Lonchura striata: one gene and its partners. Each later gene encodes a partner of the first gene's protein in a complex. Links are inferred from orthologs where the notes say so. Each region holds a gene or a part of one and is shown in the gene's direction. Other genes may lie near its edges.

Region 1 (7,971 bases):
TGTAATTTCAAATCCAGGACTTACAACAACTTTTTTAATTAAATCAGCAATGTCTTCCATAACATGGAACTCACAGATTTTCTTCACGTTCCAGTCCAGGAACAGCAAACTGTTGGAAAACAGAATGAATTATTATTTATTTAGACAAACACCAAGCTGTTACAGGCTCTTATTTATGAAAATTCAGAGGAATTAGATCTGAGAATGTTTAAAAATTCACGTCCAGCCACTCAGAAGAGGAAGGAGAAAAATAACAATAATTAAAAAAAGGAGAGCTGGAAAGGTTTGGCTGCTTTTGAAATGTCAGCATCTACAAAAATCCTGAAATACCCCCCAAATTTCAGCTTCCCACACTCCCAAAGATTCCAAACTTCAGGAAATTAATCTTAATTTTTTTTTTTCCTGTGGATTCAAGAACTTCTGACCTCAACCAACTCCAACATTTCTGCACCAGTTGGAGCCTTACTGGAAGCACCCAAGGAATTTTCACAGGAAAAAGGAAAAGTGGGAAGATTTGGAGGGGAATCCCCTTGGAAAATGTGGATACTCACCAAGATTTATCCACAAAGGAAGTGCTTTCCTTGGTGTAGAGCACAGCCCAAAAAATCCTGATTTTGATCACATTGCAAAATTCCCTTAATTTTTCCACAGGCTGACTGCACCACACCTCACAGATATCAACTTCTGCAAGGGGGGAAAAAATGGGAATTACAGGGCACAATTCAGGCATTCCAAAGTGCCAGGAAACGTTAAAATAAAGGATTAATTCAGGCATTCCAAAGTGTCAATAAATATTAAAATCAGTCATTATTTCAGGCATTCCTAAGTGACAGTAAATCTTAAAATAAAGGATTATTTCAGGCATTCCAAGGTCCCAATATTTAAAATCCAGGATGATTCCAGCCTCTATTCCTGACAAAGCAAAGCAAAGGAATCTGAACCCTCTGAACTCACCTGGTCATGGAGGGGGTTTTTCAGAGGGGATTTTTATGGAATTATGGATAGAGAAATGCTGGAAGGTTTGGCATTCCTGTGTTCTGAATGGATAAATAATAAATAAATATTCTGAACTAAATAAATAATAAGATAAAAATGGAGAAATGCAGCCTCTCCTTGCTGGGCTGGAAGGGAATGTTCTTTTCCAGGGAAAACAGCAGCCTCTTCCACCTGTATCCATGAATTATTCTGGACAAGAATAATTGAATTAACCAGGGCAAGAGGGCACAAAAAGAGCAGGGTTTGTCCCCAAAAGCATCCTGCACTTCCCAGAATTTGGATGGAACAGGGAGGGAGGGATGGGAATTAAAAATTAAATGGGGTAATTGAGGTGGCTACAGGTGCTCTGAAGGAAATGAAAAGGGAAATTCAGTTTATTGGGGTGGGTTCAGGTACTCTCAGGGCAGAGCAACATCACTTGAGAGTCTGAAAATACAAAAAAATACAACAAAAAAAAGCACTCAAAAATACAACAAAAAAAAAATCACCAAAAAATTGCACAAAAAAAATCCACAAAAAAAAAAATCTCTTCCACAGCTGTTCATCTGCTTATTCCCACCAATTAGAGGGCTGTGCAGAAAATACAATTTTGAATTTGAGCCACCTGCTTTTCTGCAACTGAGAATTTTTGTTTAATTATTACTGCAAAAACCCTCCCTGCCAAAAAAAAACAACAACAAAAAACACACCAAAAAAACAAAAGAAAAAAAAACCAAAAAAACCAACCAACCAAACAAACAAACAAACAAAAAAAAACCAAGAACTGGAAGTTTTCTTTAGACCCACACAGCTAAAACCTCCAGCTTTGAATCTCCATCCTCACAGCATTAATTGCCTGCATTTATGTAAATATTACTGAATATTTAAGTTAGATTAGGAAATAGATGATAATTGTTCCAGGGTAACAGAATATAACAATGCTTCTGCTAAAAAATAATAATAAACCAATTTTCAAGCAACATAAGGAAAAATAAAATGAAATAGTAATCCAAAGATCCAAGAAATGGAAGAATATTGGTTTAGTTTCAATACCTGGTTTAGGACGAGGCGGCACAACATGTCCAAATGTTTCACGACACTAAAGATAAACACATAATTTACATATTTACAGGTATATATTTACATATTTACCATTTAGTACACTGCACAGCCAAAAAGCAAACACGGAAGAGCTGAAATCCCACAGGGAAGAGCTGAAATCCCAGAACTCAGAGCTGAAATCCCAGGAGCCAGAGCTGAAATCCCAGAACCCAGAGCTGAAATCCCAGAACCCAGAGCTGAAATCCCAGAACCCAGAGCTGAAATCCCAGGAATACAGAGCTGAAATCCCAGGAATACAGAGCTGAAATCCCAGGAGTCAGAGCTGAAATCCCAGGAGCCCAGAGCTGAAATCCCAGGAATACAGAGCTGAAATCCCAGGAATAGAGAGCTGAAATCCCAGAACCCAGAGCTGAAATCCCAGAACCCAGAGCTGAAATCCCAGGAATACAGAGCTGAAATCCCAGGAGCCAGAGCTGAAATCCCAGGAATACAGATCTGAAATCCCAGGAGCCCAGAGCTGAAATCCCAGGAATACAGAGCTGAAATCCCAGGAATAGAGAGCTGAAATCCCAGAACCCAGAGCTGAAATCCCAGAACCCAGAGCTGAAATCCCAGGAATACAGAGCTGAAATCCCAGGAGCCAGAGCTGAAATCCCAGGAGCCCAGAGCTGAAATCCCAGGAATACAGAGCTGAAATCCCAGGAGCCCAGAGCTGAAATCCCAGGAGCCAGAGCTGAAATCCCAGGAATACAGATCTGAAATCCCAGGAATACAGAGCTGAAATCCCAGAACCCAGAGCTGAAATCCCAGGAGCCAGAGCTGAAATCCCAGGAATACAGAGCTGAAATCCCAGGAGCCCAGAGCTGAAATCCCAGAACCCAGAGCTGAAATCCCAGGAGCCAGAGCTGAAATCCCAAAACCCAGAGCTGAAATCCCAGGAATACAGAGCTGAAATCCCAGGAATACAGAGCTGAAATCCCAGAACCCAGAGCTGAAATCCCAGGAGTCAGAGCTGAAATCCCAGGAGCCCAGAGCTGAAATCCCAGGAATACAGAGCTGAAATCCCAGGAATACAGAGCTGATTGCCCTGCAGGGGCTGATTGCCAGGCTGAGCTGAAGCAGCCCAGGAATGGCCACAGGACCAAGAGGTTGGGCAAGCTGTGCTGGCAGGAGCTGTCCCAGCAGTCCCCCCCTGCTCACAGGGGACACCAGCTCTGGCTCTGCCCCAGTTTGGGATTTTTGGAAGGGAATCATGGCCAGTGTGAGGTACCTGTACACAGCTTGAGTTCATGAACACTGGGAATCACTCTGGAGATGTGATCAGAGAATCCCAGAATGATCTGGGACGGGAGGGACCTCAAACATCATCCCACTCAAGCCCTGCCACGGCAGGGACACCTCCCACTGTCCCAGGCTGCTCCAAGGCCAGTGTCCAACCTGCCAGGGATCCAGGGGCAGCCCCAGCTGCTCTGGGCACCCTGTGCCAGGGCCAGATCCAGGTAAAAACTCCCCTGGAACATCCTGCAAGTTTCCCATCAAGCTCCAACCCCTCTTACCAGATCCAAGGAGGCCGGACCACCTCCAAAAAGAGCCGCTACAAAGGTGGACAGAGGACCAGCCATGGCACATCACCCTGGGAGAAAAGGAGGGTGAAAACACACCAGAGAGACAAACTCAGGAGCTGGGCCACACTTCCAACAGCCACGGCGCTAAAGCTCACTCTGCTGCTCTTGTTAAACTCTGGGCAAGTTCAGCTTAACGCTGAGCAAGCCATCCTAAACCCGGCTGGAAGCTCAGGCAGCCACTGACTCTGATCTACACCGCGACAGGAGCCCGGGCCCTGCCGCACGGCTGCATCCCGGGATCACGGCTGCATCCCGGGAATCACGGCTGCATCCCGGGAATCACGGCTGCATCCCGGGAATCACGGCTGCACCCCCGGGATCACGGCTGCATCCCGGACTGCATCCCAGGAATCACGGTTGCACCCCCGGGATCACGGCTGCAGCCCCGGGATCACGGCTGCATCCCGGGAATCACGGCTGCATCCCGGGAATCACGGCTGCATCCCGGGAATCACGGCTGCATCCCGGGAATCACGGCTGCAGCCCCGGGAATCACGGCTGCATCCCGGGAATCACGGCTGCAGCCCCGGGAATCACGGCTGCAGCCCCGGGAATCACGGCTGCATCCCGGGAATCACGGCTGGATCCCGGGAATCAAGGCTGCACCCCCGGGGATAACGGCTGCATCCCGGGGATTACGGCTGCATCCCCGGGAATCACGGCTGCACCCCCGGGAATCACGGCTGCACCCCCGGGATCACGGCTGCATCCCCGGGAATCACGGCTGGATCCCGGGAATCACGGCTGCATGCCGAGATCACGGCTGCACCCCCGGGAATCACGGCTGGATCCCGGGAATCACGGCTGGATCCCGGGAATCACGGCTGCATCCCGGGATGCCGAACACCCCGCCCCGTCCCGGCAGCTCCCGGGCTCCCCCCTCCGCCGCCACCCGATCCCGGAAAACCGCGGGCTCGCCGCTCGCGTGGATTATCCTGCCAAAGGGGAGAAGGGGACGCCGTCCGTGCCGGTGCTCCCAGAGCCCGGAGATGCTCACGGCACCGCGTGTGCGGCCCGGGGCGCGCTCACGGTGCCGGGCACAAACCGGGGCTTCCGGGCTGGGCGAGGCGCGGGGGAAGGCGGCCGAGCGGCCACCGCTCCGTCCCTCCTGTATCCCTCCGTCCTTGTATCCCTGTATCCCTCCATCCTTGTATCCCTGTATCCCTCCGTCCCGGTATCCATGCCCGGATCCCGCACGCACCGCTCCGATCCCGCTGCTGCCGCGGCGCCGCCGCTCCCGCCGCCCCGGCGCGCCCCGCCCGCCGGACGCACCGCCCATTGGCCGCCCGCCCTCTGACGTCACGGGCCGCGGCCAATCGGCGGGCCGTGCGCCTGCGCGCGTGGCCGGATGCAGGCGGCGCGGTGGCGGATGGGGGAGCGGGGGTAGGGAGCGCCTTCCTCCCCCATCATCATCATTATCATCCTCCTCCTCCTCCTCCTCCTCCTCCTCCTCCTCCTCCTCCTCCTCCTCCTCCTCCTCCTCCTCCTCCTCCTCCTCCTCCTGGGCCAGGCTGTGGACAGCAAAGGGGCAGAGCCGGGCGCGGGGAGAAGGGAGGGGTGCGGCCCCCGCAGCCGCGGGTACAGGGGCCCCCCCAAAGCGCTCCCTTATCTCTTCTATCCCTTATCTATCTCTGCTATCCCTTATCTATCTCTGCTATCCCTTATCTCTGCTGTCCCTTATCTATCTCTGCTACCCTCGTGTCCCGTTCTCCGCACTCCCCGCGAAGTTAAAGGCAAAAGCCCAGCATGGTTGAGAACTCTCCGGCCCCGCTGCCAGAAAGGGCAATTTACGGATTTGCGCTTTTTTTGGGCTCGTGGTTTGGCTTCAGTGAGTATCGCGCAGCCGAATCCATCACCCCGCAGTGCTGCTTTGCTTTCCCGTTTAAATCCGTTTTTTTTTACTCGAATCACGCTCATTTTCACATTCACTAAGCGCTGGAGGTAGTTGTGGTGTTACCTTCCCCACCAAAAAAATGAAAAAAAAAATAATCTGGTCAACAGAAGTGTAAAATATTTTAGGTTCCATCAGCTTTTCCCTGCTGATGTGATGGGTTCTTCTTTTCACTGGGGATCCAGGGTTTGAGAGGGTAGAAAACACTTTTCCAGCACAAGAAAAGGTGCTGCAAATATCCTTCAGTGCAGGATCCTGCTGTGGGTGTGTGGCACCGTCGGGCAGTGAGAAACGAGGGGGAGTTGGGCTCAACTCCCCCCCAAGAAGAATCAGGAAGGATTTTCAGTAATTTTCATTACAGTTCCATCCAAACACTACAATTCCACCCGGTTTTCTTCCCATAAAATGACCTCTGTGAGATCATTCTCTGCTTTAATAGTATCTCTGTTCAGATTCCTTTGGCTTCTTTTTATTGAGGTGCTTGGGGGTGGTTTTGTTGGTTTTTTTTTTTTCTTTATTGTTCTGCAGTTTAATTTGGAGTAAATTCTTGGCTGTCTTCATAGGAAATCAGAAATTAAATGTTAAAGCAAGAACAAAACTGATCCCGTGTAACCAGGGGCTGGGCAGGATTTGTCCTGCAATCTTTTGGGAGAGGTATTTTAGTTTAAATAAAAGCAAAACTTAGGAAGTCTAAAACACCATCAGTCTTATTGTGACTTTTTGATTTTGTTGTGCAGTTTTGTACCTTATCTGGGCTTATATTCCTGAGACTTGGCTCTTCTCCCTGGGACTGACATACTGGCCTCAAAAGTAAGTTCAGCCAATAAAATAAATTTAATCTTAGTTATTTTCAAATAAAAAACTTTATTTTTAAATAAGGGCCTAGAATAAAATCAATTTTCCCATGCTGATAAAGAATTGTAATGTTTCTAAAGCATTTTTAAAATGTAGCTAAGGTGAAAAGGTTTTGTTGTGCCATGAAATAAATAATATTGGGATGCTTTAGGATAAATTTGACATTTTGCTTTTTAGGAAGTCTGCTAGTGGAAATACAGTAAAATGTAGGGCATAATTAAACAATAAAGACCTTTTTGAAGGAATTTATCTGATGGTTTATCAGTAGCTCCAGTGGAATCAGGATTCATAATCAGAGGTGCTGCTGCTTTTCCTCTTGTAGAAATTCATCACAGGTACAATGCCAACAATTAAAGCCAATTCATTAGTAGGCATTTGTTACTAAATATAAAATTTCAAATCCTTTTTTTCAGGTACTGGGCAGTTGCTCTGCCAGTTTATCTCCTGGTGGCTGTGGGAATTGGTTATATTTTGCTTTTTGGGATTAACATGATGAGCACAGCTCCACTCAACTCCACTCACACCATCACAGGTGATTTTACTGCTTATTGAAAAGTTGGATCCTTCACTGAGAATTCTGGAAATCTATAGAGGATAAACCCCGAAATTTAAGCCTTTAAATATTTGATTTATTGGAAGCCCTGGTGGGGTTTTCAGCATCCTTTAAAGTAAGCTAAATTTGTAGTGCTGCCTTATAAAATTATATCATACTCTTGGAAGAAAAGGACCTGGAAACCATGAAATGCTCTCCTTATCTTTTGTAGATAACTTTGCAAAAAAGCAGCAGCAGAAGAAATTCCAGGAGGAGGCAATTCCAGCCCTGAGAGATATTCCCATCAGTGAAGTCAACAGGATGTTTTTTCTCCCTGAAAAAGGCATCTGCAATAGCAGATAGTTGTTACTAAAATCTGTTTGGACAAAGGATTGATAAAAATTACTGAGGAACGATTAAAACCTCTCCAAGCTAAAAAAAAAACAAACTCTTTCAGCTTTTTTTCCCCTGAATTTCTAATTAAATTCATATGGCTTCATTATTATTATTATTATTATTATTATTATTATTATTATTATTATTATTATGCACCTTATTAACCTGCATTGCTCTGAAAATTATGCCCCAGTCATTTATCTGGTTGTTATTTAAAAATTAAAAAAGTGGGTTGAAAAGTGTTCTGTTACTTGCAGCTTTTTGCTTGGAATTCCCCTCTGAGCGGGGAAAAAAAGCAGCTTTTAGACAGTTTAATTCTATTTTTTTTTAAATTCAGGGAGAGAAAAATGTGTTTTGCCAGTCAAACACTTGAGGATCTTTTTCAATTATTAACTGGAAGTGTTTGCATTGTAAATATATCATTTGCCTTTGTAAATATTAATAAAATGTAACTGATTTTTCCATCTTCACCATTTTCTTGTGATTCTGGGAGGTTTCTCCTGGGTTGAGGTGATAAATTCTCCATTTTCCTTCACACAATTCTTTATTCAGCCAAACCTGTTGATCCCCCCACCCCCCCAAAATATCAGATTTACCGAGTTACCAAAAATAATAAAGGTGGGTTGTGAAGATTT
Region 2 (6,626 bases), on another chromosome or scaffold:
TGACAAAAAAGCTGAAATAATGAAAAAAAGAAAAACAAGAAAAAGTTAGCAAATTGAAAAACAGAATAATCAAATGTTAACTGAAAATCATTAAAATAATTAATGTTAATGAAAATCATGAAGGGAAAATAGTGAAAACATACAGATATTTTTCTAAGCTAAGTATTATGCTTTGTTGAATTTGCAGCTGAATATAGATAAAAGTCTCTTACCTATTCACAGTAGTTACAAGCCCTCTTCTACTCTAGATTATAGACACTGTGGATGAGAAAGGCCAGGCTAGGTCTGGCCTTCTACCTTTAAAAAGAATGACCTAGCTTCTGCAACGCTTTGAGAAGGGTAAATTGTTTACATCAACACAGTGTACTCTCACAAACTGCAGCCTCTGACCAACAAAAAAACCACAAAAGTAAGGGATAAAGTAACTGCAAATTTCAGGGTGGTCCAATGCACTGGGCAAACCTCAGGGGATGTGAGAGGGGTCTGAGTTGTCCCTGTGCAATTCCTTGTGTTATTTTTTTGTGGTTTTCTCTAGAAAATGTGGCAGCAGCAGGGGTGAACACATTGAAAAGCTACTAATTAGAACTATAGTATAGTATATACTATGTGTGTTGTGGGGGGAAGAAAAGGGCTATGCAAAGTTTAAAATGACTGATATATTACCAAGCAACATTTTCTTTTTTTCTTCTGGTAACTTGTGAAACACAGTCCAAAAATTTCTGATGGTTTGATCTAACTTTGTATACTGTCTGTATGTCACATTCTGTCAAAGAGATAAAAATAAAACAGGCCAGGTTTATATTTCAATTTTTCCATTTATATTTAAAGCAACATTTTGTCTGATACATTTTATAATCCTGTTCATAGATATTCAAATCCCCTTAACCTCTGGAATCTGCTTGTTCATTTGTTTTTCAAAGATTCATATGACAATCCCTGAGTTATGGCTTGATACCTATTCCCCTTTATTCTTGTGGCTGACATAGATTAGAGGCAGAATATAGACACTAATCAAAACAAGACAAAGTTCCTTGAGCTTCTGTCCATCTGTTATGCACTCAATGAAAGAACAGGTCAGAAGTAGTTTATGCTTATCAGACAGAACAGAAGGACACTGTGCTTGTATACAATACCTTTTCCAGCAGATGCCAGTCAAATGTTGTGCATCCCTGGAGAAGAACTTGCAGCTCTTCAGGGAAAAACATCTTCCAATTTCTAGCTGGGCAGCCTCTTAAGAACCCTTGCATAAAGTCCTCAAATGGCTTCTTTACTGATTTATTGAACATATAATTCACATACAAATCAACATATTCTTTCCTGCAACAGATACCAAACAAGCATTGGTGGTGCTTTTCTAAAAGAAGAATTACAGAGAACTTTATACTTAATTCCTTTATTCCATATGACCTGCTTTGGTGTACAGACTCAGTCTTCACTGAGATCAGTTGTCAATGGCAGTTAGTTTTTCACTGAGTAAGCTGGGAGCATCTTCAGAAATAAAAGCGAATGCTGGCCAGAATGGATTCATTTTGGTAACACTCCTTTTTCTTCATGTGAATGCTCCAATTCCTGTCAGACACCTGGTTATTATAAAAGATGGAACCTAGCAGACCTAACTCCCATTGAATGCCCAAGAATTTCCCTGAAATAGAAATAAATATTTGCATAGCTGTTAATAGTTTCACTCTTATCTCTACTTCAGATGGGGATTTGTGTAGTGACATTGTACTATATGATCAATTCAATGTAAATGCTCTACTTCAAGCTTCTTAAACAGCCCTTTCATGGATCCTTATGGGTCCTCAGGTCATCTGCATAATTCAGGACACAAAATTTATTTCTGTCCTCTGTGCAGAGATTAATATTGATACATAATAATACATAATAATACACATAATAATATTGTCATAAAGCCTTATTGATATATTTCTCCTTCTCCTTTATGTACAAGATACATTCCATACACATAACTAAGCAGGAAACATTTTGCTCTTAAAGAACCCTTACAGAGGTGTGCTGGGTTTCACAAACAAATGATTTGTTTCTGCCTGAAAATACTGTTCAAGGTTATTTTTTACATTTGTTAGGAATTTTCCTGTTAATGCCAGGTATCTGTATATGCAGATATCAGGATATCCAAGGATCACCATGTTATCCACTGCTTGCACAAACTGACAGTTTTTGCACGTGTGCAGCAAGTACAGCAGGAACTGAAAGTGTACAATCTACTGGACCAAGACTAATGGCACAAAACAGAAGTCAATATTTTCTAACAATATATGGGGATGGGTGCAGACATGTTATTTCATACATTTGTAACAAGAAAACAGGATTAAGAAATATAAAAATAAAACTGACCTGTTATCCTTAGTGACAGGAATGTTGGCACCATTTTCTTTAAGTTCAACAACATCCGTGGAATCTCCTCCTTCCATTATCTATGCAAATAAATTAAAACACTGGCTGCTCTATCTATATGTGACAGATATTTATGTGCTACACCTCTCATTCCTCCTGAAGGGCCTGACATGGCATTCACTAGTCTGAGTTTACAGACAAGTTGTGGTCTTTGCACTGGGACATGTCTTGCCTGAGTACCTACGTAGGATGTCTTACCGTGAAGTCCAAGTCCAAACTATCACTTTCATCATTCAAAATTTTCCGGAGACTCCTATCCAAACACAAAAGGGATCAAAGAGAGAAGAAATGTGAGCATTCAGCGCACTTGAAAATTCTGCTAAAAACATCTTTTGACAGGCAGTATTTAAATGCATACATGTACACAACACCTACACTTAGACATAAACATGATATATGGCACTGAAATTTCATCATGCTGCTGACATAAGCTCAGCACAAATGCCTCCAGTAAAAAATGTTCCCAGGCAAGTCCATCCCCATGCCCTGTGTGCACAACTTTACACAAAGTTCAGTGACAACTGGGTTTGGAATCATTGCTTCCAGACATTATCTAGTGAGGAATTATGTGTGCAACAGAGAGATGATCTGGGAGAATTGTTATGGGGTGCATCACCTTTCCAAGTATTGCAGGCAACCTTGTGTTCCAATTCACTGAGGAACCTCAGTGAATTTAGCACTTCAACACAGTCACTGGGTCATGGGATGGGGTTCTCATCTTCTTGGTTGCTTGTATCACTTGCCTGGAAAACTGGGCTTCAGGGGCCTCGAAGCATTATGTTGGTGGCAGCAGCACCTCTGCCCCTTATGCCTGCCTGATATCTCCTCTCCCAGTGCATGGAAACTTTGTACAAGGGTTCTCAGAATTGGCAGCACTTTGTAATACTGTACTTGTGCAAGGCAATATAGTGGAAATTGATAATTAGTAAATCAGGAAAAAAATCCCACCATTAATAATTGAGTCATTAGTTCTTTAAAGTCCAAACTACAGCCCTTATATATTCACAGGGTGGATTTAAACTCTGGTGGAGCAGAGATCTGACACCTTCTAAGTCACGAGGTTTGGCATTTTGTTTTGGCAATGCCAGCCTCTGAGAGCAACATCCATGCCCTGGACAAGGACCTCCTTGGAAATCTGACCAAGGACCTCCTTTGTGGCTTCTAGCAGCTTCACAAAGGCAAATGTAGATGCTGTGGGTGCCCCAAATTCAGCCTCTGGGATCTCCCAGTGCATGGTCAAGTCAAGGGACCCAGCCAAAGCTGGGTCATACCGGCCCATGGTTGGCAGCAGATCCTCAAGGTCCTCTAGGGTGGGGACCAGGTCCAGTAGCTTTTTATAGAGAGCCCTGGGGAAGGGGAAGGGCACCATGCGCAGGTTAAACAGGGCCATTCCACACAGTGTCCCAATTAAGAGGAAGGTGTCCTCATCCTCACAGCTTCGGGCCTGGTTAGGAACAAGCACAACTGGTTAGGAACAAGCCATGACTGCCTTTTCCCATAGGTGGGGCACCCATCCACCCCTGCAGGGCTGGCTTACCTCTCTGGGGAACCACACGAGGCCGGAGGCGAAGTGGCAGAAGGCACTGGTGCTGGGCTGGCAGAGGGTCCTGGCTGCAACACTGAAGAACTCCTGGGACACCGCACCTTCGTCCACCCCCATCTCACCCAAAAAAGACACCTGCAAGGCCCGAGACACCCGCAGATAGAGACATCCATGTTGGCCACAAAACCAGGTTCCTTACCTGGTATGCAACACGCCAGTAATTACACAACCGAGAGACGCTGATTATTTATCTCACAGTTGTGCCAAGCTGGGTACTCGGTAGTAATCCACAAATCAAGCACATTCCACCAGACTTTTTGAGCCATTATTTGTACACAGAAGTTCAGAGTTAGTAACTGTCCAAGTCTGTTATGCTTGGTTAGCAATTTTCAAACAAGTTCCTTAACCCCAGATAACTTCCACACATGCTCAGGGTAAGGGTCTTCAACTGGGCAGGGGTCTCACTGCCCTGTGGGCATGATTTTAACTATTACAATTAACACAGTTCAGCTACAGGCTACGTGGACCAAGTTAGCAATTCATATATGGACAAGTTAGCAATGTATATACATCAACATCTTCATTTACTGCATCTTTAAGGCTTTTCAGTTCCCGGATGTCCTTGGCTAGGGAATGCTGGCTGCTGCCTTTTCCACTGACTAGGTCTCCTTTTTTCCTGATTAAGCTTGACAGTGTCCAAAGATCACACATGGAAAGGCATCCGGCCTTAGGATAACCTTGATCCTCCGTGCCCTCGGAACGCCGCGCAGGGGCGGGCCGGGCAGAGCGCGGCGGAAGCGGCGGCCATGCTGCGGGGCCCGGCCCTGCTGCCGCTGCTGCTGCGGCGGCCGGCCCGCCCCGGCCCCAGCCCCGGCCCCGGCCCCGGCCCCGGCCCCGGCCCCGGCCCCGGCCCCGGCCCCGGCCCCGGCCCCGGCCCCGGCCCCGGCCCCGGCCCCGCGCACGGCCGGCACTGCCATAGCCAGCGGGAGCAAACCTCGGGCTCGGCCTCGGGATCCGGCCCCAACTCCGGCTCGGGCTCCGGCTCAGCGTGGCCGCAGCCCCTGGAGCCATCGCTGCTGCGCTTCCTGGTGTGCCCGCTCTCCAAGCGGCCGCTGAGGTGAGGATGGGGCGGGGGAGCCGCGCCCGAGCCCTGCGCGAACCCAGGTTAGTTAGTCCCTGCTCCTCATGTTTTCGCTTGGATGTTTCTCCCCCTCTCCTGACTTGGCTGACCAGGTACGAAGAAGCTACGAACGAGCTCATTAACGAGGAGCTGGGCATCGCGTATCCCATCATCGACGGCATCCCGAACTTGGTTCCGGAGGCGGCCAGGAGGACGAACAAGAAGCCGCCGGCCGAGGGTCCGGAGCAGCCGTGAGGAGCCGCCGTGCACGGCGCTCACCCGGCCTGATGGCCGGAGCAGGGCTGCTGCCCTCCCTGCCCACGCTGACTGTCCTCGTTCCCCTCCTGTCCCTGGCAGGCCTGTTCTACTCGGCCAGCGTGGACGAAAACTTCCCCCAGGGCTGCACCAGCACAACCAGCCTGTGTTTCTACAGTCTCCTCCTTCCTGTTACAGTACCAGTTTATGTGTTCTTTCACCTCTGGACCTGGATGGGGATTAAGCTTTTTAGGCACAACTAGTGCAGTGCCTTTGCTAACCCCTGGCTTCTCTAAATCAACATAATTTGTTTAATCTCATCAAGTATTGCAGTTCATTTTGAGAGTTTCCCTCTGGTACTAGGGACTGTCATAATTTTCCTGGTAGGATCTGGAACTGTAGGAAGCAGCAGCCCATTGTTAACTACTGCTAATGCACATGAAGGGTAGGAGTAATACAAAGCACTAATTCCCTCACTTTTATCCCTTCAAGAGTGCTGTGCATTTGTAGTGGGACTAATTAGAACCTTAGGTTTCATGAGGAAGAACTGTACCCTGACTGAATAAACTAGATTAAAATTAAAACATGCTATGATATGAATCTCTCTGAGAGCTTTGGGGCTTTTTAACCAGATGTGTGTACTGAAATATGTTTGTCTCACTGTCAGAAGAGCAAAAATTAAAATACATCAGGCTGGTGTTTAATAACAAGACTTGAGATGAGTCAATTGAAGACATTTCTTTCTGGGATGATACCCATGTCTGTATGTGAAGTACATGCAGATCTTTTCTTTCTAGGGCCACGATGAGAATGCCACATGCCAAGTTCTTAACAGCACACAGCTATGAAGGGAGCAGGCCAGTGCTACAATGAAGGTTTCTTCTTTATGTTTTGCTTTTGGGTAGTTTGTATCTGCAATGCAAAACATATTAATGTCCTTTGAAACATGAAATTGCTGAAAAATTAAGAAATGAGGCACCAAGTTGTAAATGCTGCACCAGGCTGTAAATGCTGTGGGACACTTAACAGTGCAGTTACATTTTTCAGGCTGCTGCTGAATAATATTGTGATGCACAGTGTGAAAGGCAGTGCTCAGGAGGTGTGCCCAAAGGCTGACTTGAGCTAAGGGCAGCTGGTTGTCAGAGCTTGTACAATAGGTGGAGACTTGAAATATAGAGGACAGTACAGAGCACACCCTCACTGCCTCTCTAAATAAATGCCTCTCTCAAATAGTGAGGAGCCAGGAAGGAAAGGTAGCTCTGGGAGTCTTTGTGAATTTTGTCCAAAGTA
Region 3 (7,411 bases), on another chromosome or scaffold:
GTGGAAACATTAGCTCTAAACCATTTGTAAGAGAACCCCAAGACTTCCAGCATAAAATTCTATTATTGATACTGAGTAATACCATTTGAAAGAGAACCCCAAGACTTCCAGCATAAAATTCTGTTATTGATACTGAGTAATCTGCTGCCTACAGCACTATTTAGAAGAGCATCCTCCTTTCAAACCTAGCATTTTATTAATTTCAGATAAACTTTAGACTAAGTAACTATTCCAGTACAAAGAACCTCTTTTAGATGCCCTCTTCCACACTTGCTGAAATTACAGCTCATTCTCACTAGAGTTCAAGTATTGCCAACAACGGCAATGTCTATACTTTGCATAAAACAAGAATGGAAAAGAATATCTACACATCTGGCTGCCAACTGGGACTTTTCAGCTTGTGAATCATAAGATATGCAGGATAAGCCTACAGGGCTACAAAGAACAATTACTTCTGTTTAGAAGCATTCTTACCATTCAGAATAAAATTGCTAGAGGGTTATTAGGCAATTATCTCTGTGTGCATCTAAACTCCACTGACACTAACCACCCAGGGAGAAGATATTGGTTCTTTCTGTGGTACATCCCTGCAATCCATCTTCATCACACCATTTTCAGTAACACTCTTTAGATTAAAGATTCTCCAAGACACAGTTCAGCTTTACAAATTTCTATCCCTCGTGTCCTGTTTCTAGTAAATGTGGTACAGCTTTCTGCAGCTTGTGGACGGAATAGATGTGAGAAGTTGAATCACAACTAAGTGCATGGATTTGCTTGCACAAAAAGACGAGAAACAGCCCATTCACAGGGTGACATTTGCAAGCGTTTTCAAAGACTTCACACAAGACCTCTTATATAAAACTGACGATTTCTCCAGAAAATTCTGAATTTCATCACCTGGAAGCATACGAATCTTTTAGGAACAAACTGGTAACGAACACAGAAAAAAAAAAAAATAAGGCAAAGCCCACACTACGTGCTAACCCGAGGGTTAGTCACAGTTCCTTCTCTGGATGCCACGAGCGCGCACAGCAGTTCGGGCGGCCGCTCGCTCCGCGGCAGTCAGCAGGGGAGCATCACACGCTCCGTGCGCCGCTCGCTGCGCCAGCGCGGCCGGCTCGGCTGCGTGCCGCTGCTCTGGGCAGCCGGAGCGCATCGCGGCCGGGGAGCCGGGACCACCGGCCGCTCTTTGTTCCGGGACCCCCGCAGGGCCCACTGCGGCTCCTCCCGGTGCGGCATGCGACGGGCGTTCTCCCTCCCGACGCCTCCGCAGGGCTGCGGGCACCGCCGGCGCCGGGGCACGGTGTGCTCCGTGAGGCACCGGAGGCGGGAGCCGCCTCCCCCCGCCCGCAGGAGCGGCTGAGTCACGCTGCCCCCCGAGCGGAGGGGGGCGCGGGCGGCCCCGCAGCCCCCGCCGCCACCCCCCGCCCGCCGCGCTGTGCTCACCGAGCCCGGCCAGCCGCTCCACCAGCCCCGCGGCGCGGAGGGTAGCGGGGCCGTGGTCCACTCCCCGCCGTTTCTGCGAGACAAAGAGAGGGGAACGCGTCAGACAGCGCTGCCCGCAGCCAGGTACGCGAGCCCCGCCGGGGAAGGGGAGCCGGGCGAGCGCGGCGCCCGGCGCATCCCCGCGATGCCCACCTGGCCCCTGGAGAGCGGGGCTCCCACCAGCGCCACGGAGTGCGCCCCGCGGCGCGGCCGGAGCGCGGCGTCGGGCTGGGCGCGGAGCAGGCGGGCGAGGGATCCGCGCAGGGCCATGGCGGGCGGTGCTGCCGCGCGCCGCCCGCGCCCCGCTCTCTTTAGCGCCGCGCGCCGCCCCCGCGCCGCCGGCCAACGGCAGCGCGCGCGCACGGAGGTGTGTCCGCGCGCCCCGCCCCCGCGCCCGCACGCCCGCCCGGGGTTTTTCCACTGCCGCCGCCGGGGGCACGGACGGGGGCTCGGAGAGAACGAGCAGCGCCTCAGGCTGGCGATGAGATGCTCGTTCTCTCTGACACGTGTAGGTCCCCTCTGTGTGCGAGCCGCACGCTCCTGCAGCTCAGCCCGGCTCCCTGGCTGGCCGCTCCGTGGCTTCCCCGAAGGAAAACGGTGACGCTCATCACCAGATGACCTTAATAAAGCATTGAAGGACCACCTGTTCAGCACCTACCTCGAATATTGATCGCAGAGCATCGTGGCCTGAGACGATTCTCGGGTCTCCAGCTATTCATATTTGAGGCACATTTGAAGGATGATTAACAAATGATTTAAAAAGAAGTGGCAGTCCCCACCTTTCCCTGCTGTGACAAGGCAACAGGACTCCCACTGTCGAATGTCCAGTCTTTATCTACAAGCTTGAAAGAAGGCTGACAGCTCATGAGATAACAGGGCAGAAACATAGTTAAATAGGGACTTGCCAGAGACACATATTAAAAAATCCAAGCATATTTTGCTTTTTCGTCTTAAGATTTCCTAGTTCTCCTCCTATCTCTGTATGTCAATAACTTCTTTGTGTCTTGTTGTGAATGTGAATTATTGTTATCACTCCTCCAGGAGATCATATTTCTTTTCTGTCCTGTTTACTGACCTGGCTGTTCACAGTGCTTTTACCTCTTCTACTTCTTACTCTGATATTTCTTTCCCCTTCTTGTCCCCATCTCTGAAGCTGTCATACCAGCTGCCATAACTCCTGCTTACATGCTTCAGTCCTTCTCACCTGCCATTTCAAACCTTTCTTCCATCTTTTAAAAGCCTGTTTTCAATTTATTGGGTTTTTTCCACTTTCACTTCATCAACTAACTTCTTTCATCCTCTTTTGAACTTCAGTATTTTCTTCTCCATTTCTGCACTTCATTGTCTGCTGTTAATTTTTTTTTTCCTCCAGGCCAGCTCACCTTTCCTCTTCAGAGGAAGAGGAAAGCCCATTCCTCCACCTGGTCTCTTGTGTCAGAGTGGGATCCTGGATGTACTGCACAAGACTTCCCATGGATGGCAGCCATCAACCACTCCTCCAGGCAAAGCAAAGGCCTCGGTAGTGATTCTCTGATGCCCCTTGTTTTTTCATGTCCCTTAAGACTTCTTTGGTGCCCCTGTGAGAACAAGTTAACAGCTTTTTTGTACATACAGTATCCACCCAAGAGCTCTGAGGATGCCATGCATGAAGTAAATTGCTCACAGAAAGATGGCACCTGCAATTAAAGCTAACACTCAAAAACTGTGGGAGAAGGGAAAAAAAAAAAAAGGCCAAAGAAATCAGGATGGCAGTTTGGAAGTCACAGAGCTGTAGTTTTATATTACTGCCACGTAGTCACAGAGCCACCACGAAGTCACAGAGCTGTAGTTTTATATTACTGCTATGTCAGTCACATGAAGTAATAACTGAAATGCATTAAAGGGAACACAATACAAAGATCCATTAAGTCTCTGTATGCAAAGCCAAGTCTCCAATTTATCATGTATTTAGTGGCAAGGGACCAGAAAACTCTGCTTTAAACCTTGGGGGAAAAAATCAAAAGAGCTTGTAGTTAGCTAAGCATGGTACAGATGAGAAAATCCATTAATGTAGTTGCAGATGGTAAGGACAAAGGGGTGAAAAGAGAACCTTCCTGAGAAGAGAAGGTTGCATGGAGAACTCATAGAAACCTTCCAGTATCTAAAGGGGCGTTCTGGGGAGCCAGAGAGGGTCTTTCCATCAGGAGTTGTAGTGATAGGACTAGGAGTAATGGAAAAAGGGTAAATTTAGGTTAGATATTAGAAATTTTTTCCTTTGCATGTGGTGAGACACTGGACCAGGTTGCCCAAGGAGGTTGTGGATGCTCCAACCCTGGCAGCGTTCAAAGCAAGGTTGGATAAGGCCTTGAGCAACCTAGTCCAGTGTGAGGTGTCCCTTTCCAAGGCGGGTGGTGTAGAACCAGATGATCTTTATGTTTCATTCCAGTCCCTTAACAGTCTACGATTCCATGAAAACCCCAGGCTCTTCATCACGTCAAGAGACACGTGCAGCACCACTAACCCGTGTGCCCTTTAACTAACACTCATACTCCGTAAACAGAGGAAGCAGGCAACGAATTATCAACATGTGCAAACCGCAGAAAGCGCTGATGTAATCGAGATTACGGACAGACGCCCGGGCAGGCACAGCCGAGGAGGCAGGCGGCGCGGGCCGAGCCGGCGGGCCAGGCTCCTCCCGCGGGAGGACGGCCGGCCCCGCCCGCCCGGCATGGCGGAGCAGCGCCGCTTCCTCTCGGCCTGCGGCGTGCCGATCGCGCTGCGGCGCCGCCAGCACAGCGCGTCCTGCCGGGAGCTGGCGGTGCGCGGCCCGCGCCTGCAGCTGCGCTCGCTCAGCGCCGTCACCTCCGCCGTCTGGCTGGCGGCCTACGGGCTCTTCGCGCTCAGCGAGGTACCGGCCCCGCCGCCCCGGGCCCTCCGCGGCTCGGCACGGCGCCGGCCGCGCCCCTCCCGCGGGCGCGCAGGAGTCCCGCGGGCTGCGCCGCCTTGGCTAGCGGCGCCCGGGGCGTGGGGGCGGCCGCAGCCCGCGGGAAGGCGCCGAGCGCCGCTCCGGGGCATCCCCCGCGCCCCGGCCGCTCCGAGCTGGTGGGTGTGTGACGGCAAAGGGACGGCCGTGCCAGCCTGCCGGCTGCGGGCCGCCACCTGCCTGCCCCAGTGGCTTCGCGGGTGCCTCTGTTGGTTTGTAGCCTCTTGACAGATAGGGTAGATGTATGGGTGCTGAGTGATGCCTGGCACATCCTTCTGAGTCCAAATAACACGTGTTCACTTGGAGAAATGAGTTGTGAGAATCTGAAATTAAGGAGGAATTGAATAAGGTGAATGATTTTTAATCCTCAAAAGGAATTTTTCTAAGTGACACCGGGAGCACTGCACCGGGAATGTCATCAATTTTCACAGCTGAGGCAGAAAGATATTTGCAGTACAGATATAAAAGTCTGCTGATTCCTAAATTAATGCTTTTGGATTAATCAGAAACTGGACCCAGACAAGTTATGTCCAGACTGAATTCAGTAGCTTGACCAAAGAAGCTGGTCACTGTGACCCATGCTTTGACTGTTGCAAATCAGTTTTTTTCAGTAATCCTTCTTAAGAAACAAAGGTAGAGTCAGTTGTCAGACAGAAATAGATGGTTCCTGATTAAATTTCTTTTTTTACGAAAGCATGTCATTCTTTTTTTACACTGCAGTCAGTGGTTAGCACCCACTGCCCTCCTGCTTGTCTTTACACATGCTCCTGCAGCCTGCATGCAAGTGACTGCAATTCTTCCTTTAGCCAGGAAATCAGGCCTGAAAGTGCCCCTCTCTTTTTGTGGATTTCAGTGTCTGTACTTCATGACTGTTTTTTTCCCCTGTGATAGCAAACTTTTGGAGATGTCCTGTGTGCTTCCTGAAGCGATGGCTTCTTTTGCTCACATGGTGGTACAGGCCCAGCTTGAGTGGTAGTAGGGCTGTGCAGTTCTGTTCCTTTAGAAAGTGTCACTTATAACTCTCATTCATGAGTAGGTGGCCTGAAGATCTCTAAAACATGTCTCAGAAACAGGTTGTGGGTTGTGGACCTTTAGAATTTATCACCAGGTCTTCAGATGATTTACTGGTGACTATAGTGTCATTGGTTATATATTAAAATGTAACAGCAATCCCAAGACTGTGGCATGCAAAAGACATTGATCCTTACACAAAATACAGGATAAAGCAAAATTTCATTGGGTTGGTATTTAAGGCAAGAAGTGGGTGTGGTTTGAACAAGTTTGGACTGGCAGTTCATGGTAAGAAAACCACCCTGGCAGTGTTTATCCTGAAGGAGGGTTCCTCTGCTTTGAGAATCCACCCTTGCTTCCTGTAAACATTTCACAACACTTTTTTGTCAGTGACATCATCTTTAGAAGTTGGCATAATACTCTCATTGATACATCTGGCTTGTTTGGGTTGAGATTTCTGCATTGAACTTGGAAGGGAATAGAATTTTCTCGCAGTTTTCAGTTTCAGCTCCCAATTCTTTTAGTGCATACTGCAAAGACTAACTTAAACCTCACTACATAGATATCAGCCAGCCAGGTGAATAAAAAGACTCTACCTAAGTAAAAATGCTTTGCACCTGTAGCTTTAATATACAATTTGCTGCGCAATTTTAATTTCTCTAAAGCTGTGTTAAAGTAACTGTAAGACCAGAGCTCTGCCTTTTCTTGGCTTGTGTTACAGAACAGCATGGTGCTCTCTGCCGCCATCTTCATCACGCTGATTGGCCTGATCATATACCTGCACTTCGTGAAGATTGACCAGGAATCCTTGCTGGTCATCGGCTCGCTCGGCATTCAGGTGACTTCCTCCTATGCCTCAGGGAAAGAGAGCACAACCTTCATTGAGATGGCTCAAGTGAAGGATGTGGTTATCAATGAAGCCATCCATATGGTAATCATACAAAATCTGTCTTCTTGTGTCTGGGCACACTCACATCCAGTGTATTTTCATGAGCATGATTTACCAGAGCAATTAAACACAGCACCATCCGTAGCTTTACTGACATCAGGAGCTTCAGATTTTTCAACTTAATTTGTCATCTCTCACCTTTAAAGGAGAAATCAAACCAAACAACCTCAAAAAGCCAAATCAATCCCTTGGATAATGCCACTGTCATTGAGCTAGTGGGTTTCGTTCTTTGTGTTATGCTGTTCTTTCAAATCCTGATGCCCAACTCCATATGTAATCAAGATGGAGATGAGAAGCTACGACAGCACAATGATTTTTCCTATTGCTGGGGTTTGCAAAGCTCCTGTAGAAAAGCAGACCTTACCCTTCCAGCATGTGTGTGTTCTTCTTAGGTTAAAAACTTAATAGACAGTCAACGTTATTTCTTTATTGAGTGAAAGCTGTTGATACAAATTTGTAGACTTGACTGTGACCTGGCAGGATTTGCCTTCAGCCCAGTGAGTTGAAACAGATCCTACTTCTGTGCTAACTCCAGGCAGTTTGACAGCATTTTTATACTCCAATGATTTTTGTCCGTTTGTCTTGTAGCAAAAAGTTATCTACTACCTGTGTATCCTCCTCCAGGACCCTGAAGATCCTCAGGGAGTATCTGAGGTTGTGCCACTCTTTCAAGTGAGTTTGACTGAATGGTGGAGAAATCCATGTTGTAGTCTTTGTGTTGCATCAGTTGTCTAAGCATATTTTTATTCTGCTACAGGTAGCTGGTGACAGTTGCCTTTCCCTGGCTGGGCTGTCAGGATGTGTGGCATTTGAAATCTCACAGAACTACATACTAGGGATGGGTTTTTTCATTTGCTCTCCATTCAAACAATCAGGGAGTTGTGTCAATCTGAACCCAGGAATTTGTGTGAACTAAAAGTCTTTGGCTCACTTGTAGAGCTTTCTGTGCAGTCCTGTGCTCAGGGTTACCACCGTAACTCTGGCACTGTGCTGCAGTTGATTTT
Region 4 (7,452 bases), on another chromosome or scaffold:
CTGGGGATAACATAGCAAAGCTGGGCTTCCATCACTGCCTAGTTTTAAGACTGAGGAAAAGTGTGCAAAAGAAAAATTTGGGTTCTCTTGTCTGAAAAAAATGGTGAAGATTGAATGCATGTTTCAGAGCAGAATCTCCCCTTTTCTTCCTGAAAAGTTGTTGGCTACTTCAGAAATTACTTGATCAGCAGGTACTAATCTCTGCTCTCTGTGACAGGGACAGGACCCAGGGAATGGTTGGAGCTGTGTCAGGAGAGGTTTAGGCTGGATATCAGGAAAGGTTCTTCCTCCATAACACGCTGGTTACGCCTTGTGTCTCCAGAAGCAGGAGGTTCTTCCTTCAGGTTCTTCCTCCAGAATGCTGGGCACTGCACAGGCTCCCCAGGGAATGGGCACCGCCCCAAGGCTGCCAGAGCTCCAGGAGAGTTTGGACAATGATCTCAGGGATGCCCAGGGTGGGATTGTTGGTGTGTCTGTGCAGGGCCAGGAGCTGGACTGGATGATCCTGACGTGTCCCTTCCCACTGAGGATATTCTGTGATTCTGTGAAGCTATTTGGATGGGAAAGGGGCTGCCTGGAGCAAAGACATGCCCTGGCCACGTTTGACATCTGACATGTGGGAGTCGGGGAATGATCACCCTGAGTGACTCAAGTGTTATCATGGATTGAGCTTGGTTTGGAGAGATGAGGCTCACACAAAATAGGGGTAACAAGTGTTAAAGACCTGAAAGAAGTCATTATCTCAGGAACTGGGGAGTCTGAGGTCCCATTCAATAAGTTCACACACAGGGCTCACCTTTACACATAAATCTTCAGGCCATATCTGACACCAGTTGAGCTGTTGGAGCTGTTGGACCTTTTTGGGTTGTTCCTCCAGGTGTAGGTCCAGTTTGCTGACCCTTTAATTTCTATGCCATGGTCCTTGTTTGTCTTTATTTTATAATTAGCTGGCAATAAAGTGACGTGGTCTCTCTGGCATGAAGTGAATCCAGAATAGCACCAACACCTTGACCCTGGGTAGATAGCAAGCACCATAGCATGGCCTCAGAGATGGCAGCAGGCAGGGACAGTCATGGTCCTAACTGCTTCCCCCAAACAGGGACAAGAGATTTGTCATGGACTACACGCTGGAGACCAGCCAGCTAAAGCAGAAGCTTCTGAAAACAATCTACAGCCTCCAGGTGAAGTCATTTACCACACTGCAGTCAGCCAGCCCAGTGCTGCACAGCCAGAGTGGCATGGGCATGGTGACCCAGCACCAGGTCCACCAGCTGGCAGATAAGGCCAAAAGCCTGTGCAGAGATCTGGACAACATCAAGAACCTCCTCCACTATTGCCAGGATGACTTGGTCCGGCAGATTCCCAACCCCACCGGCAGCCGCTACGGGGGTGTCAGTGGAATCCATTGCTCCCTGGATGGCTCCATCTACGTGACAGCTGAGAGTGCTCCCTGGGTCCACGTGCTCAGCAGCACAGGCCACACACTGCAGTCCTTGCCCTGCCAACAATCAGGCAAGGGAGGCAGCATTTTCTTGCCGGAAGATGTGACTGTGACTAGGATGGGAATGGTGGCTGTAGCTGACATGGTGAATGAAGCCATCTGGGTCTTCAACCCTTACACCAACCTCTCCAAGAGGGAATGGATAAAGGTCAGGAAGGTTGGCTCCCCCAGGGGTATTGGAGTAGATTCCATGGGCAAGATCCTGATAGCAGATTATGCACAAGGTCAAGTGCACAGCTTTGCTCTGGACCATACCTTCAGGACACTCAATGTGCACTCTGTCCCAAATCTGCAGGGACCTCGCTACATCAGTCCAGTGCCCGGTGGAGGCTTTGTGGTGAGTGAAGAGTGTGGAGATGTCAAGGTCTTCATGAGCAGCTGTAAGCTCCTCTGCTCTCTCAGCAGCAAATATGGACACCAGTTTGGCAACCCTGCTGGGGTCTGCGTGGATACGGATGGCAGCATCCTGGTGGCAGACGAGCAGCGCCGTACAGTCCACTTATTCCCAGAGCATGGAGCTCCCATCTGCCTGGTGTCCACGGGGCTGCGGAGGCCTGCTGGCATGGCTTGCTCCTCCTCTGGGCACCTCTTTGTGGCAGACACAGTGGAGAACTGTGTCAAAGTCTTTAAGTACTGTGTGAGACCCCGGTACAGACCCACCAATGCTGGGACATCACGTGCTGACCCCAACCAAACACACAGGTGGGGAGGGGGGATGGTTTCCCTGCAGCCCCACTGAGCTGTGCATCTGCTGGGGTGCTGAGAGCTCCACTGCTCTCAAAGATTCCTGTAATGGAATCATGGAATGGTTTGGGTTGGGAGGGACTGTAAAGACCATTTCATGGCAGGGACACCTTCCACTATACCAGGTTGCTTCAAACCCTATCCAACCTGGCCTTGGACATTTCTAGGGATGGGACATTGCCCCAGACCTGACTGCCTAAAGGCCCCCAGCTTCTCTAGGACTAGACCAGCTCTGGACCCACCAGAGTGTGTAAAGGATGACCCAGCAACTCAAGAGTTGGCCTTGCACTGGTGCCTTGGCAAACTTGTTATCACAACATCCTTGGTTCCTTGAGTGTTTTCCAAAGCTGATATAAATATTTCTCCTCTCTCCATGTGATTTTGATGTGCCATGGTCCCATCTTCCTGATGCCAGACCATGACCAGAGAGGCAAGGCCATGCTAGAAGTCCATGCTCGCTCACAGAATCATGGAATCACACAATGGTTGGGATTGCGTCCTTAAAGATCACCTAGATCTACACCCTGCCATGACTAGGGACACCTTTCACTAGATCATGCTTCTCCAAGCCCTGTCCAGCCTGGCATGATTGAGCCAACTGGTCTGTCCTAATTCATTCCCAGGCTATTAGGGTGGGTTTTGCAATCAGAGAACAGCACACTGGGTCTGCAGCAGACGTCAGGAAAAGGGTAAGATGAAGGTAACTCCTTCTGTGCTGCATTCCTGACCTCTACAGGGAAGCAACAACCACTACACGGAGTAAATTCCATATGGAATCGTGGAACTCCTCAGACTACCTCACATCCTGGGGCAGACACCATCCTGTTGTCCTCTGGAGAGGAGGGCTCAGCACGTCTTGCTGCCTTTATCAGCAAGGGCCAGGGGAAGGTGGGCAGGGTGTGCCGGCACAGGGATGGGCGTTTTCCTCTCCCTGCTCCAGCCCTCGGTGTGGGCACGGAGCTTAATGACTTCTCTGTCTCTAATGGTGTCCCACACCCAAGTCACCGTCTCTGATCCCAAATGATCCCTGGAGAGGGCCTTGCTCCCTCCTGGCTCTGGAACAGGCACTGGACACAACAGACACCCTGTGAGGTTCTCCAGAACCCCTCTCCCCGCAGCGTGAGGCAAGCAGCAGGGACTGGGGCTGCATGGTCTGCAGAAACAGGGGGATCAGCCTCTCCCATTGCAGGAAGCTGAGCTCCCTCCCACAAGACTTAATCTCCCCTATCTTATTTCCAATTCTGTGGCATCCAACAATAAAACTAAACCCCAAAATCTTTTATGTAGCCCACCCCGACTTCTGCACCTGCTCTCTCTTTCCATGTGGGACCTCTTCATGCTGCCTAGCATCTTCCCAGGCTCACTGGCCCAAGCCCACGGCCGGATCACAGGACAAAGTTCTTGGGCACCCGTGGGCACCCATGGGTCTCTGCTGGGCCAGACATCCACTGAGGCAGTCAAGATGGGGGTCAAGAGGGTCCCATCAGCACAGCCGAGTCCCTCACCAGTGGGATGGGGGACAACGGGGTTCCCTGAGGAACAGTGAGTCCTTGGACTTTGGGGATGAGGAACAACGGGGTCCCACATGGAAAGGTGCCTGGCCTGTGGGATGAGCGACAGCAGGGTCCTGTGAGAACAGCGGGGCCGCTCGATTTTGGGAACAGAGGACAGCGGAGTCCTGTGAGCACAGGTGAGCCCCTGGCCTGTGGGGATGGGGCCAGCAGCATCCCGTGAGCACAGCGGGGCCCTGGCCCCGCTCCAGCTGGGGCGGTGGCAGGGCAGGGGGGCACTACCGCTCCTTATCGCGCGGCTCAGGCGGCCCCGCCGCCCTCGGGCCCGCGGGAAGGCGCCGGGTGGAGCCCGGGGAGCGGCGCCGGCGGGAGCGGGGCCGGCGGGGCCCGACAGGCCGGGAGCGGGGAGCCGCGGCACCACGGAACGCGGGCGGCGGGTGGCGGTGCCGGCCGGGCCCGTCCGGCTGCACGACCCGGCGGCAGCGGCGTCTCCGGGCAACCGCGGGCGGAAGCGGCGGAGCGGAGCGGGCGGCGGGAGCGGGGCGGCGGTAGGAGCGGGCGGGCGGTAGGAGCGGGCGGCGGGAGCGGGCGGCAGGAACGGGCGGCGGGAGCGGGGCGGGCGGCGGGAGGAGCGGGGCGGCGGTAGGAGCGGGGCGGCGGTAGGAGCGGGCGGTAGGAACGGGCGGCGGGAGCGGGGCGGGCGGCGGGAGCGGGCGGCAGGGGCGGGCGGTAGGAACGGGCGGCGGGAGCGGGCGGGCGGCGGTAGGAGCGGGCGGGCGGCAGGGGCGGGCGGCGGGAGCGGGGCGGGCGGTGGGAGCGGGCGGGCGGCGGGAGCGGGCGGCAGGAACGGGCGGGCGGTAGGAGCGGGTGGCAGGAGCGGGCGGGCCGGGCTGGGCCGCGCGCGGAGCCTGCGCGGGCACCGGGAGCCCCCGCCGGGCCGGGTCAGCACCGGGCCCCTCACGATACTGAGCGGCTGGAGCGTGTCCAGGGAAGGGAACAGAGCTGAGGAAGGGGCTGGAGCACCAGGAGGGGCTGAGGGAGCTGGGGGTCTCAGCCTGGGGAAAAGGAGGCTCAGGGGGACCCTGTGGCTCTGCACAACTCCCTGCTGCCATCTCTGAGGCCATGCTATGGTCTCTGCTCCCAGGGGAAATGGCTTTAAGTTGTGCCAGGAGAGGTTTAATTTATATATAGATAGAATAGATGGGGAAATTTCTTCGCGTAAAGCATGCTCAGGCACTGTCACAGGCTCATGGAATGCCTGGCCTGGAAGTGTTCAAAAAGCCGTGTGCATGTGGCACTTGAGGGCATGGTTTAGTGGTGGTGGTGGTGCTGGGGAATGACTGACTGGACTTGGTGGTCATAGAGGGCTTTTCAACCTTTACAATTCCACGGTTCTATGATTCTTTATATCCTGGCCCTAACCCCCCTGCAAGGATCATGGGATGCTCAGGTGTGGGTCTGCTATGGGATCTGTCCCCCTTGGCACCCCTTGGCCACAGGACACTCTCTGGGGTGAAACCATGGACACATCCCACCATTCACCTTCGCTTTTCTAACAAAAACTCTGGAATCCATCAGTCTTAGGGCCCTGTATTCATTTGTTGGTTGTATTAACACATTTTAGGTGGTGTTTATTTTGTTTGTTTTGGTTACCTGAGGTCATTGCATTGGTGCTCTCAAGGAAAGGTGGATGTTTTCACAAGAAATAGGTGGATCTCAAAGATTTTAGGCACTTGATGAAGAGGGACTGCATGAGCATTGGTAAGATTTTTCTGTTAAAATTAGCAGCAGTGAAGCAGACTGTGATGACATTTGACATTTCAGTCTATTGAAATGAATGAGGTAGATGCATGACAAGTCATGGATTTGGGAATATGAGAACATTAACATAACAATAGTTGATCAGCCAGGTTTTCAACTATCAAGATATTTTGTGCAGCCTGAAAGTCATATCAGAATCTTCTCTGCCATGCCTCAAGCAGCCAAAGGGCAGATCATTTGACCCAAGCTATAGCCAGAGTAGTTGGGTGCACAAAACTATGTTAATTTTAGAAGCTGGGGAAGGTGTAAGAGGAAAAACGCACAAACTAGAGAAGATAAGGATGTCAAGTGTTTCTGCTCCATGAGAAGTTTTCCCAGAGGATTGTGGCTATCTTTAAAAACAATCTCAGTGAAAAATAAGTGTGTGTATGAAGAGTCAGTTGACAGTTCCTTTCTAAAATGTCCAGTGGATGGACAGACCTTTAAGGACAGTCATGCATAGACACTGAGAGTCTCTTGTAGCAATACTCACAACAACTCTCTTTGTTTCGATGGGAAAAACATCATGGGACTGTCTTTGATATTTTTCCTTGGACTGAATTTTCCCTTTTACTGCAAAACTGCAAAGTACATCCCAAGACTTCCCTCTCCTGAGGAATTTGTTGGCAGTATGGTGCTGGAAGCACAGTGTTTACAGGTTCTGAATGCACCCAGCATTGGCCCTCACTGCTCCAGAGATCCTCCAACCCCCAGCAAGATCTAGAGGCCACAGAGGGACTTAATTTTCCCTCTGTGACCAGAGGGATAACCTCAGAGACCTGGAGTCTGTGAGGAAGCAGGATCTCAGAAGAGCCATAGATCATAGAATGGTTTGACATAGAAAGGACCTTACAGACCATTTAGTCCCATTCCTGCCATGGGCAGGGACCTTCCACTGTCCCAGGTTGCTCCAAGCCCCATCCAACCTGGCCTTGGACACTGCCAGGGATGGGGAGTCCACAACTCCCCAGATTACCCCACTGTGGGTGATTAACCCCAGAGGTTAATCACTCCCTATAACTGCTCCTCCATCCCTCCGAGTAGGAAGTTCCCAGGCGCTGAGCTTTACTGGCTCAGCTGTCCTCTCCTAAGGGAGAGGAAAAAGCCACCAGGCCCTTCCCTCTGCGCATGGTCTCTCTGTGTTGTAAATACCCTCTGTGTTCCCTTTCCAACTGACTGGTCCCTTGCAGAGGAGCAGCCTCGGGGCCCTGTGGAGTTTCACATCCCTAACAAAGCGCTGAAGGACGGGAAAGGACAGGAAAGGACAGCGGGCGCCGGATGCTGCCTGTTCTGCGCCAGCGCCCTCCTTACTGCAATTATATTCCTGTTAGAAACCTCCACCTTATTTAAAGAGACACTGTCAACTGCCTCAAAGCTCCTTTCTGGAAAAGTCTCCCAAGGCCACTGAGATGTGTTCTTAATGATGGGGAGAAAAGCACTAAGGATAAAGAGCGCTGATAAAGTTCTCATCTTTTAGGCTGTTGAATCTAATGAATTAAAACTACTTCAATTAATCACTATAGTCTCTTCTGACAAAATTTTTGTCTCAGTTTCCTGATAAGAGGAGTGAGGCAGGAGGAGCTGAGTGATGGGATCAAGGTGGCTCTGTGAGTTTGCTGCAGAGATCTGGGTTGTAAGGTGGTAAAGGAGACCGAATAGCATGAACTGGTGTTTGATTGTTGATAGCAGCAGGAAATACTCCCCAGAGGCACCACAGTGAGCTATGATGTAGTCCCTTCTCTAGGAGGTGCTCCAGCACATCCAGCATGGGATTCAAGATCTTAGGCTAGGTGAATGCCAGATCTTGGCTGGTCTGATGGGCTGTGCTTATCTGGATACCACCATGAAAGACCTTTCCGGGACTGGAAGAAGGGCTTTACTGGGAAACTCCAGGCT

The links.
Region 2: PIGP (region 1) and PIGY share a complex: the UniProt entries of both Homo sapiens proteins name them as parts of the glycosylphosphatidylinositol-N-acetylglucosaminyltransferase (GPI-GnT) complex. The link is inferred for Lonchura striata from reciprocal best matches to the Homo sapiens genes PIGP and PIGY.
Region 3: PIGP (region 1) and PIGH share a complex: the UniProt entries of both Homo sapiens proteins name them as parts of the glycosylphosphatidylinositol-N-acetylglucosaminyltransferase (GPI-GnT) complex. The link is inferred for Lonchura striata from reciprocal best matches to the Homo sapiens genes PIGP and PIGH.
Region 4: PIGP (region 1) and PIGQ share a complex: the UniProt entries of both Homo sapiens proteins name them as parts of the glycosylphosphatidylinositol-N-acetylglucosaminyltransferase (GPI-GnT) complex. The link is inferred for Lonchura striata from reciprocal best matches to the Homo sapiens genes PIGP and PIGQ.

What each region holds. Positions count from the first base shown.
Region 1 is NC_134604.1:114,838,907-114,846,877, forward strand, and holds PIGP (phosphatidylinositol N-acetylglucosaminyltransferase subunit P), read left to right. Parts: upstream 1-4,971; 5' UTR 4,972-5,045; intron 5,046-5,134; exon of another isoform or gene 5,135-5,389; 5' UTR 5,390-5,408; coding exon 5,409-5,490; intron 5,491-6,290; coding exon 6,291-6,363; intron 6,364-6,821; coding exon 6,822-6,940; intron 6,941-7,172; coding exon 7,173-7,303; 3' UTR 7,304-7,806; downstream 7,807-7,971. Other genes in the region: E3 ubiquitin-protein ligase TTC3, read right to left, coding at 25-109, 552-684, 2,029-2,074, 4,864-4,941. UniProt on the Homo sapiens protein: Part of the glycosylphosphatidylinositol-N-acetylglucosaminyltransferase (GPI-GnT) complex that catalyzes the transfer of N-acetylglucosamine from UDP-N-acetylglucosamine to phosphatidylinositol and participates in the first step of GPI biosynthesis.
Region 2 is NC_134606.1:58,611,355-58,617,980, forward strand, and holds PIGY (phosphatidylinositol N-acetylglucosaminyltransferase subunit Y), read left to right. Parts: upstream 1-5,336; 5' UTR 5,337-5,368; coding exon 5,369-5,599; 3' UTR 5,600-6,048; downstream 6,049-6,626. Other genes in the region: putative E3 ubiquitin-protein ligase HERC4, read right to left, coding at 1-11, 664-763, 1,134-1,317, 2,359-2,438, 2,617-2,671, 3,690-3,862, 3,956-4,096; PYURF (protein preY, mitochondrial), read left to right, coding at 4,439-4,491, 4,830-5,078, 5,195-5,336. UniProt on the Homo sapiens protein: Part of the glycosylphosphatidylinositol-N-acetylglucosaminyltransferase (GPI-GnT) complex that catalyzes the transfer of N-acetylglucosamine from UDP-N-acetylglucosamine to phosphatidylinositol and participates in the first step of GPI biosynthesis.
Region 3 is NC_134608.1:32,903,244-32,910,654, forward strand, and holds the start of PIGH (phosphatidylinositol N-acetylglucosaminyltransferase subunit H), read left to right. Parts: upstream 1-4,182; 5' UTR 4,183-4,192; coding exon 4,193-4,372; intron 4,373-6,179; coding exon 6,180-6,389; intron 6,390-6,995; coding exon 6,996-7,079; intron 7,080-7,411. Other genes in the region: ARG2 (arginase-2, mitochondrial), read right to left, coding at 1,447-1,519, 1,639-1,755. UniProt on the Homo sapiens protein: Part of the glycosylphosphatidylinositol-N-acetylglucosaminyltransferase (GPI-GnT) complex that catalyzes the transfer of N-acetylglucosamine from UDP-N-acetylglucosamine to phosphatidylinositol and participates in the first step of GPI biosynthesis.
Region 4 is NC_134618.1:2,699,515-2,706,966, reverse strand, and holds the start of PIGQ (phosphatidylinositol N-acetylglucosaminyltransferase subunit Q), read left to right. Parts: upstream 1-4,215; 5' UTR 4,216-4,304; intron 4,305-4,410; exon of another isoform or gene 4,411-4,415; intron 4,416-7,452. UniProt on the Homo sapiens protein: Part of the glycosylphosphatidylinositol-N-acetylglucosaminyltransferase (GPI-GnT) complex that catalyzes the transfer of N-acetylglucosamine from UDP-N-acetylglucosamine to phosphatidylinositol and participates in the first step of GPI biosynthesis.